Linked DNA regions of Canis lupus familiaris. The protein of the gene in region 1 purifies or fractionates together with the protein of each later gene. This does not show direct contact. Links are inferred from orthologs where the notes say so. Each region holds a gene or a part of one and is shown on either strand. Other genes may lie near its edges.

Region 1 (2,800 bases):
TGTGCAGCTTCTTGGAGAACCAAGGGTCTTGGATACGCGGGAGCATCTGCGTACCTGTTGGGCCAGGGCGCTCTTACATTCGGCCCCTCCTGCCCAGTTTGCCCCGGGTGGGTGGCGAGCAGCACCCACCTCTCTCCAGCACAAGTGGACGCGTAGAGCGTAACAGGACACTGACTTCCATCCACTCTCCCGCTTTTGTGTCTGTGTGTTGGGTAAATGACAGGCTGAATCTGATATCCCCTGGACCCCTTTCTCTTTTGATCTTTCCTTCTACCTACCTCCTTTCTGCTATCCGGACAGTGCATTTAATGGCTGGAGCTCTGGCAGCCATTTTGGACCATAAGAGGTGTTCTAGATTGAATTGTGTCCTCCCAGGGACACCTGGGTGACTCAGTGGTTGACCATCTGCCTTCGGCTCAGGTCATGATCCCAGGGTTCTGGGATCGAGTCCCGCATCCAGATCCCCGCAGGGAGCCTGCTTCTCCTTCTGCCTGTGTCTCTGCCTCTCTCTCTCTCTGTCTCTCCTGAAAAATAAATAAAATCTTAAAAAAAAAATGGGTCCCCCCAAAAGATATGGAAACCTACCAACAGTACCTCAGAATGTGACTTTTATTTGGAAATAGTGTCATTACAGATAGAATTAGTTAAGACAAGGATACACTGGAGTAGGGTGAGCTGGTAATCCCATAGGAGAAGAGAAGAGACACACGAGGAGAGGTCATAAAACAGAGGACACTGGACTCATCCTGCCCCAGACACGGAACACTTGGGCCCACCAGAAACCAGTAAAGTCTCATGTGACAAATTCTTCCTATGGAGCCAAGAAGGAACACAGCTTACCGACACCTTGATTTTAGACTTCTGCCTTCAGAATGGTGAGAAAATGTCGTTTTTAAGGCTCACAGTTTGTGGTGGGCTGTGCTACAGCCTGGGGGGCTACAAGGGGACTTGGAGGATGAACAGTTCTGGCACAGACCTCAGAGCAGAAGAGGCCCAGGCCCCGCGGACCATGGGCCACACACTCTAGCCTGACCAGCTCTAGGCCTCTATCTTTTTTTTTTAAAGATTTTATTTACTCATTTGACAGAGAGAGTGGGCACCAGCAGAAGACCAGCAAAGGCACTGGGAGAGGGAGAAGCAGGATCCTCCATGGACCGGGGAGCCTGACCTCCACCTGAGACTCGATCTCAGGACCCTGGGATCGTGACTGAGCCCAAGGCAGACGCTTCACAGACGGAGCCACCCAGGGGCCTCTCGACCTCTTTCTAGGCGAGCATAGCGGGTTGTTTTGGTCTTTTTGCTATGAGTCAACAAGTTTGATTCCTGATTGGAGACCAGGCCTCACCTGCTACCTGCAGACCCCCGCCAATTTCTCTGACCCCACTGCACCTTGCAGAGGGGGACTGGGGCGGGCTGCCAGCAGGTTCCTGGTCAGAGCCCCACCTGTCTGCCTCTCCTGGTGGGAGACACTTCCCTAACAGCACGTAGAGCAGCTGGGCTCCAAGGACAAGAATGTCTTTATTGAAGCAGGAGGCGGAGGCGGGGCGGGTGCACCCAGGGGCAGGCCCCGCACTGGCAGGTCGGGGCAAGGGGCTGAGATAGGCCAGGGTCAGCAGGCAGCATCAAGGGCCGGAGAGTGGGGCGGGGGCCATCAGAGGGTGATGTTGTCCTCATACAGCGACAGCAGCAGCAGGACGGTCCAGCCGCCCAGCAGGCCCATGTTGTGCAGCAGGAAGAGGAGCCAGGGCCGCCGGTCCCGCACGTGCAGCATGGCCGGGAGCTGAGGGAGAGGGAGAGGGAGGCTGTGGTCAGGGGCCAGCTCCGGGCCCCGGCTCACCCTGCTCAGCTCACCCCTGGGCGGCCGACTCCCGCCCTCCACCCTGACCATGTCGCAGAGCGCCACGTAGAGGAAGAGGCCGGTGGCCACCGCCAGGATCCAGGCCTCGCTGTCCTCGCCGACGTCGACAGCGAGCGCCACGTAGAGGCCGGCGAAGGCAGTCAGCGCCGAGGCCAAGTTCAGCAGCAACGCCCGGCGCACCGACAGCCCCGCGTGCAGCAGGGCCGCGAAGTCCCCTGGGGCGGGAGGGGCGGGGGCGGGGTCAGGCCGGGGCGCCCCGCCCCGCGGCAGCCCCCCCGCTCATGGCCCGGCCCACCGCCCGGGAGGCCCGGCCCCCCGCAGGCCCCGCCCCGCCCCGCCAGGGGGCCCAGCGCCGCGGACCTAGCTCGTGTGGCAGCTCGTGGCAGAACACGGCCAGCGACGTGGCCAGCCCGGTCTTCCAGGAGGACGCGAAGGCGGCGCCCACGGCCAGCCCGTCGGCGAAGTTGTGCAGCGCGTCGCCCAGTGTGATCACGTAGGGCAGCAGCCGGAGCTCTGCGGGCGGTGGACGTGGGTGCGCGCCCGCCCGGCCCCCCGCCCGCGCCGGCCCCCCGACCCTTCTGGGGCTTTCCTCGGGACTCACCTGGGCTCAGTCTCCGGGGCTCCGCGCTCAGCAGCTCCGGGCTCTCCTCCGCCACCTGCGGGGTGGTCAGGTGGGCCGGGAGGTGAGGAGGGGCGCATGGGCTGGGTCCCCCGAACAGCATCGGAGGCCCCGGGGCGGTGGCGGGGCAGGTCCGGGGCCCTTGGGGGAGGAGCTCCCTGTGGCATGGGGACGTCGGGGAAGGGCCAGCTCACCAGGTCTGCGCGGGAGCCCTCGTGGGGCTGCTTAGGTGGCCGGAGCTCGCTGGGCGCCAGCTGCAGGGACACCCCATGGCTGTGGCCACCATGGCTGTGGCTGCAGGGCCCATCCTTTGAGTCCTGTGG
Region 2 (2,666 bases), on another chromosome or scaffold:
GGGAACTTAAACTTGTGGAAGACCTGGCCCAGCGCCCAGCGGTAGTGCCGCGCAATCTTGTAGTAGCCCTGGAACTTGCGGTGGTCTGGGGGCACCGTGATGCTACTCAGGTCTGGCTGCCGGATGTGCGTGATGGCACTGCCGTAGGAGGCGATGACCTGGGCCGTTTCCTCATGCCCGCAGTCCTGACTGACAATTATGGGGAAGTGTTCGGCTGAGGGCCGGTAATGCAGCAGCTTGTCCAGGCAGCGCCGGACAGTGCTGCGGTCACAGGCGATGACCAGGATGGGGATCACAGCTGGTGGGGAGGACACAGGCACACGCGGTGGGGCAGGTGGAGCAGCAGTGGGCACCCTCCACCGCTGGCTCCACCGAGCATGATGCTCCCTGATCTGCTGCAACAGCCCTCTCTGGCGCTCCAACTCCACCTCTGCATCCTCGGCTAGACGGATCACCTCCCGGGTGAGGCTGGCGGGGTCATCATCGAGAGCGCTGTCTGAGGGCAGCCTGCTGGGTGACGGGCGCGTCCAGAAGAAAAGGAGCAGCAGGGCATTCCAGGCCACAAAGAGGATGGCGCCCCACAGCACAAGCCCAGCAGATTGCTTCTTCAGCATCCTGGCCCCCACAGGGGAGGGCAGCAAGGGTGGGGCTCGAGGCTGCCCTTTGCTTGCCTAGTTTACTTCCACAGCCCTAGGGATGCTTTCTCTGGCCTTTGGAAACAGGAAGCAGCCATGCACCTGAGGAGAAGACAAACAAAACCAACCTTCATCACAAAGGCATGCAGCTCTCCTGGGGGTGGAGGAATGGGGCCTGAAGGGGCATCCAAGAATAGGAGAAACAGTAGGGCAAGTGGGAGGCCAAGAGGTTGACTCCAGAGCTCTCTTAGAAATGAGCTGCCCATCTCTTAATCTGGGATAAAGAGGATAGGACAACACACTTCCCCCACTCCAAAATGAGTCCATGAGCCTCAGAAAAGCAATATGGTTTGAGTGAGAAATAAAGCGTGATGTTGTCAAGGAGGAAGCAACAGAACCCTACTTTTCCTCCCATACGTGAAAGACTTCAGTTTCAACTTCTCTGCAGAGTTTTAGGGGCAAGGATGGAGGTGAGTCTTTCTGCCTCCCATTCCTCAAATCAAATTGCTCACAGATTACTGATTTTAAAACCCTAATATTAGGGGTGCCTGGGAAGCTCAGTCAGTTAAGCATAGGACTCTTGGTACCAGCTCAGGTCTTGATCTCAGGGTGGTGAGATCAAGCCCCAGAGGGGCTCCAGGCTCAGCAGGGAGCCTGCTCCAATTTCTCTCCCTCTGCCCCTAGCTCACAGGCCCACGCTTTCGCTCTCTCAAATAAATAAATAAAATCTTTAAAAAAATAAAAATAAAAACTCTTAATATCACACCTCTAGGCTAAAGTCAGACCTTATCTAATAAGGAAGCACTAGCGGCATTCCCACAAAAGTCAGGGGCAAAGCCAAGCTGCCCACCATCTATATGACAATTTAACATTCTCTTGGAGGGATCAGCCAATGTGAATGGACTACAGAAGTGGAAAAAGAAGCATGACTATCTATTTGTTGATACTGTAAGAATATGCCTGGGAAACTGATAGAATCAATGATAAACCCAAACAACTGAAGAATTGAGCATAGTAGCAGGATATAAAACTAACAGGCACAAATCAGTAGCCTTCCTATACACAAAAAATAACTCATTAGAAGTCACAATGCTTGAGAAAACCCTATTTACAACAGCCATAAAAATTATAAACTATGTAAGAATAAACTTAACAAGGAATATTCAAAACCTACATGAGCAAGGTTTTGCTCATTAGCCTACCAACCATTAAAATACTACACATTACAAAGCTTCTATAATTAAAACGATGTGATGCTAGTAGGTAAATAAATAGATCCAAAGGAATACAATTTAAACTACAAAAACAGACCCAAATATGTGTAGAAACCCAATAGAAGATACAGGTGATATTTAAAATTACTAAGGCAAAAAAAATGGTCTATTAGTTGTTATAACAACTATACAGCTATTTGGAAAAACAAAATTATATAACTGTACAGAATAACTCCCAAGTGGATTAGAGTTCTAAATATAAAAAATCTAACTATACAAGTGCTAGAAGAAAATACACATCAATTCCTCTATAACCTGCATACAAAAAAAGGCTAAGTTTGATTCAAAATCTAGATGCAGTAATAAGTAAAACACTTGCACGATATAAACACAATTGGCCAAGTTGAAAGACAAACTGGGAGAGAATATTTGCAATATATATCACAAATAAAAAGCCAATAGTCTGACAAAAAACTTTTAAACTGAGGGGGTAAAAAGCCAAAACTCCTTATCTTTAGTTAGACCAGGGCAATTCACAAAAAGATACTGAATTGGTCCTTGGGTACATGAAAAGATACTCAATTTCACTTATAGTAAGAAAAATGCAAATTAAACTATACTAAGATAAAATTTCTTACTCATCAGATGCAAAAATTCAAACAGTTGTCCTTCTTTTAAAAGTTTCAAGTGGAAAACAAGTTCTGATCATCCAAAGATGATCACCACATATTCACCTCACATGCTCTTCTTAACAAAGATGTAAGGCCATTCCTCTCAGTAGAGGTGAGGGATGTGGGGTCTCTGTTCCCTCTCTTTG
Region 3 (3,704 bases), on another chromosome or scaffold:
ACTGGGCCCTCAGCCCTTGGGGCAGGTCTTATGGGCCATAGCTCTGCCACCACCTTCCCCTGACTGGCAGGAGACTAGTGGCGGTCAGGAAGGCATCTGTGAGCTCGGAGGAGGAGCAGTAGGCATGGGAGCTCACAGCATCACAGGCCCCAGGGGCCTTTCTGCATGGCCTGGGTCCTTGGACTATAAATTCTGGCCCTTTATTTTTTTCAAGATTTTATTTATTTATTCATGAGAGACACACACAGAGAGAGAGAGAGAGGCAGAGACACAAGGCAGAGTGAGAAGCAGGCTCCATGCAGGGAGCCCGATGTGGGCCTCGATCCCAGGTCTCCAGGATCACCCCCTGGGCTGAAGGCAGGCACTAAACCGCCGAGCCACCCAGGCTGCCCAAATTCTGGCCCTTTAAGAGAGTGTTCCAGACCTTAGTAACTCAGTTGTGGTCCAGGGACAAGCAGCATTAGGATCACCCCAGAACCTATTGGAAATCCAGAATCTGAGGACCCATTCCAAACCTATGAATCAAAGTCTGCATTTTTGAAAAGCCCTAGGGTATAAAGTAGGGAAGCTCTGTCTTAAACCAGAGATGCTGGTAGACATTTCTCCTCCATCCTGCCCTCCATTTGTGGTCCTGGCTTATGCCATCAGGGGGCCTAGTGCCTCCTGTCCTCTGACAAGCCTGGCCAACGGCAAGCCTGAGGGTCTCACTGCAGGGGAATGAGGGCTCTGCTAGGCCATACTCTGCCCAACCCCAACCCCACCTGGGAGGTCACCTATGGGCGGGGCATTGTGCTTCCCTTGCAGCCCACAGGGTGCTTATGATCTAGTAGAAGGGACAGGCCACCTACCTCCCTGACCAATGGCTGTTAAAAGGTGTGATTAGATGAGAACCGAGAGGCCAGAAGTTCCAGTAGGCATGTTACCTTTCAGCTGGAGCAGTCAGGAAAGCATCACAGGGGAGGTGGTGTCTGTGCCAGACCCTGAAGCCCAAGGAGGATTGATTCTGTATATGTGGGGGGCAGGGCAGAGCCAAGAGGCGGGAAATGACAGAGTCAGGGATGGAAGCTCTTGGCTTCATAGGGGAAGGAATGGAGTTTGGAAAGGTTGGTTGGGCCCCACCATGGATGGCCATAGATGTCAGGCCACCAGGGCTTTGATCACTGCAGGCGGTGAATGCCAAGGAGGCTTTTGAGCAGCAGAGTGATATGTTGAGAGCCAGGAGCTAGGAAGGCAAGGGTGACGGCAGCTTGAGTGTAGTAGTGCGATTTAAGCAGAATCATTTTAAACTTTTGTTGATCAAACGTTGATGAGAAAGGAGAGAGGACGAAACTAATCAGGAGACCATGGCTGTGGTCCAGGCCAGCTTAAGCGGGGCAGGGCATTCTGGGGCCTGTCGGGAAAAGCCAGCTTGATCTCAGGGGTCCCATAAGGGCAAGCTCAACTTGGCACAGGAGGGATAACCTTTAGTTTGGTCTCAAGATTTTTAAAGTTCATTCTCAGCCACTCCCTCCCCAGACCCCAGGCTGCGCCAGGTTAAGAGCAGTGAGGCTCTGTGTGGGTTAAGGATCTTGTACATGCCCCCAGCCTGTGCTGTGCCTGCTCTCAAGGCATCTAGTGACCCACAGGAAGCAGAACAATGGTGGGTGGACCATAGTGGGCTGTTGAGAGCCACTGGCTGTGGCAGGCCCCCAAGTCCAGAGTGATTTGGTCCGACAAGATTTCCCCATGGGCTCGGGAGTTTTCAGAGGAGGTGGCCCTGGGTGGGCCTAAGGGGAGGCTCCCAGCTTCATCCTAGGTGGGACCTAATCAGAAGGGGGTGGCCCCTTGGGGCACCACACTGAGGCCCCACTGCCCAGCACAGGGATGCCCTCTTTCTCTGTGGGGCATTTTGGCCTTCCCTCCCCAGAACCCCTCAAAACAGTGGGCCTGGAGTTCCTAGCCCCCGGCCTGTGCCGTGGCCAGAATCCTGCAGTGCCTGCAGCCGCCCTGCCTTTCTTTTTTTTGCCCAGGTCGCGTTTATTTATAGTGCCATTCTGGTACCTTCCAAAGCTACCTGTCTGATCCTCTTAGGGATCAATTGAGAACAGACCTTAGGATTGGGTAGCTTTTTAGTCATTTAATGCAAATCACTGCACTCCTTTGCAGGTCAGGTTTTAATGATCTGGAATCGATCCAAGCCAAGTGGGTTTTGATCTTGGTGCAGACTGAGGATGCCTCACCAGAGTCATGGGGCCACATGCTCCCCCTTAAAGCTGATGGCTTGATTCTTGCTGCATTTTTTTTTTTTTTTAGCCCATTTCAGAGTATTTTTTTCCCCACCTCTTCCTTTTGTTTGAATGTGTTTTTTCCTCCTAGGTAATTTTGAATGTGGAAATCCAGAGAAGCTAAAAAGCAAATGCATCCCTGTAGTGGAAGCCCAGGAATACCTAGCAGTAAGTAGGCTGCAGCGCTCACCCACTCCCAGGAGGTCCTGGTGCTTTTGTTCTGATCTTTCAGACCCTGCCTTTTTTTTCCGTTTCCATTTTGTGTTTGCTTTTTGGCTATTTTTGTTTTCCCTTTTTTGTTGTTTCTTTCTTTTCTTTTCTTTTCTTTTCTTTTCTTTTCTTTTCTTTTCTTTCTTTCCTTTTCTTTTCTTCTTTCTTTCTTTCTTTTCTTTCTTTTCTTTCTTTTCTTTCTTTTCTTTCTTTCTAACTTAGTTGAGTGTTAGGCTACTTTCAGTTTAGGCAGCAGGAGAGGTGCCTGGTCCCAGCTGAGCTGTGAGCCGGAGCCCTGCCTGCCACAGGTGGGTGGGGGTCTCCTGAGCAGCTGGTATGGCCACTGCAGGCCGCCTCTTCTTGAAGCAGCCCCATTACTTACCCCCCGCTTTTCTCCCCTTCCCAGCAGCTTTACAGACCTACATTTCACCTGTCCATTCTCTCCTTTATGTTCACTGTGTAGATTGCTCGGGGTCTGTGTGGCCGTTGGCCTGGCCCCAGTTTGACAGAATTCTAGAACCTTAGAGCCAGCAGAAACCTAGGGGTCCCCTAGCCTATTTTCATTTCCCAGATGAGGAGACTGAGGCCCAGAGAGGGGCAGGGACTGGCCCCTGGGGCCCCCAGCCCCACACGTGTTTTTATTTTCCCCAAGATGAGCTGCTAGCCCTTGACGCTTTGGTACTTGAGAAAATTGTTTTTGGCTACCTCAGACCTGCATCACTTTCTTGTGTGCTCCCACCTCGACTCCTCCTGGTAGAGCCCCTTCTTGGCTCTCATCAACCCACATTTCCACCTTCCACTTTGTCGTGCATTTAGCGGAATGGGGCTCTGGGGCCCGCTGGAGGACACGGGAGAGGTCTTCCCTAATCCAGCAGGAGAACAATGTTCTAGCTGGTCTGCCCAGCCACAGCACTAATCTCCCGCCCCCTCCCACAGAATGTGACCGGCAACTCCCCTGCCAAGTTTGAAGCTGCGCTGACCTGGATACTGAGCAGTAACAAGGATGTGGGCATCTGGTGAGTGTGGGCGAGGCATCACAGGGTGGGGGCACTACCATGGGCACCTGCGGCCACGGTCAGCTCACAGAGGTGTCTGAAGGTAGAGCCAGGTCTCCCTGCCAAGTCCTTGTGGGCTAAGCCTACAGCCAGGCAACAGAAGGAAAAGGTGGTCAGGGTGCAGCGGAAGGAGCCACTTCACGATAAGACACAAAATCCAGGTTAGCCTAGTTTT

The links. Proteins that work in one complex are often made in the same cells at the same time.
Region 2: the proteins of SLC39A4 (region 1) and alpha-1,3-mannosyl-glycoprotein 2-beta-N-acetylglucosaminyltransferase purify together in Homo sapiens (affinity purification with mass spectrometry; 3 studies listed by BioGRID and IntAct, with this or other methods). This does not show direct contact. The link is inferred for Canis lupus familiaris from reciprocal best matches to the Homo sapiens genes SLC39A4 and MGAT1.
Region 3: the proteins of SLC39A4 (region 1) and LEMD2 purify together in Homo sapiens (affinity purification with mass spectrometry; 3 studies listed by BioGRID and IntAct, counting the BioPlex papers as one, with this or other methods). This does not show direct contact. The link is inferred for Canis lupus familiaris from reciprocal best matches to the Homo sapiens genes SLC39A4 and LEMD2.

The regions. Positions count from the first base shown.
Region 1 is NC_049234.1:38,583,992-38,586,791, forward strand, and holds the end of SLC39A4 (zinc transporter ZIP4), read right to left. Parts: intron 2,795-2,800; coding exon 2,672-2,794; intron 2,515-2,671; coding exon 2,460-2,514; intron 2,372-2,459; coding exon 2,219-2,371; intron 2,074-2,218; coding exon 1,886-2,073; intron 1,781-1,885; coding exon 1,652-1,780; 3' UTR 592-1,651; downstream 1-591. UniProt on the Homo sapiens protein: Selective transporter that mediates the uptake of Zn(2+). Plays an essential role for dietary zinc uptake from small intestine. The Zn(2+) uniporter activity is regulated by zinc availability.
Region 2 is NC_049232.1:297,944-300,609, forward strand, and holds part of alpha-1,3-mannosyl-glycoprotein 2-beta-N-acetylglucosaminyltransferase, read right to left. Parts: intron 738-2,666; 5' UTR 615-737; coding exon 1-614. UniProt on the Homo sapiens protein: Initiates complex N-linked carbohydrate formation. Essential for the conversion of high-mannose to hybrid and complex N-glycans.
Region 3 is NC_049233.1:3,299,654-3,303,357, reverse strand, and holds part of LEMD2 (LEM domain-containing protein 2), read left to right. Parts: intron 1-2,355; coding exon 2,356-2,432; intron 2,433-3,410; coding exon 3,411-3,490; intron 3,491-3,704. UniProt on the Homo sapiens protein: Nuclear lamina-associated inner nuclear membrane protein that is involved in nuclear structure organization, maintenance of nuclear envelope (NE) integrity and NE reformation after mitosis.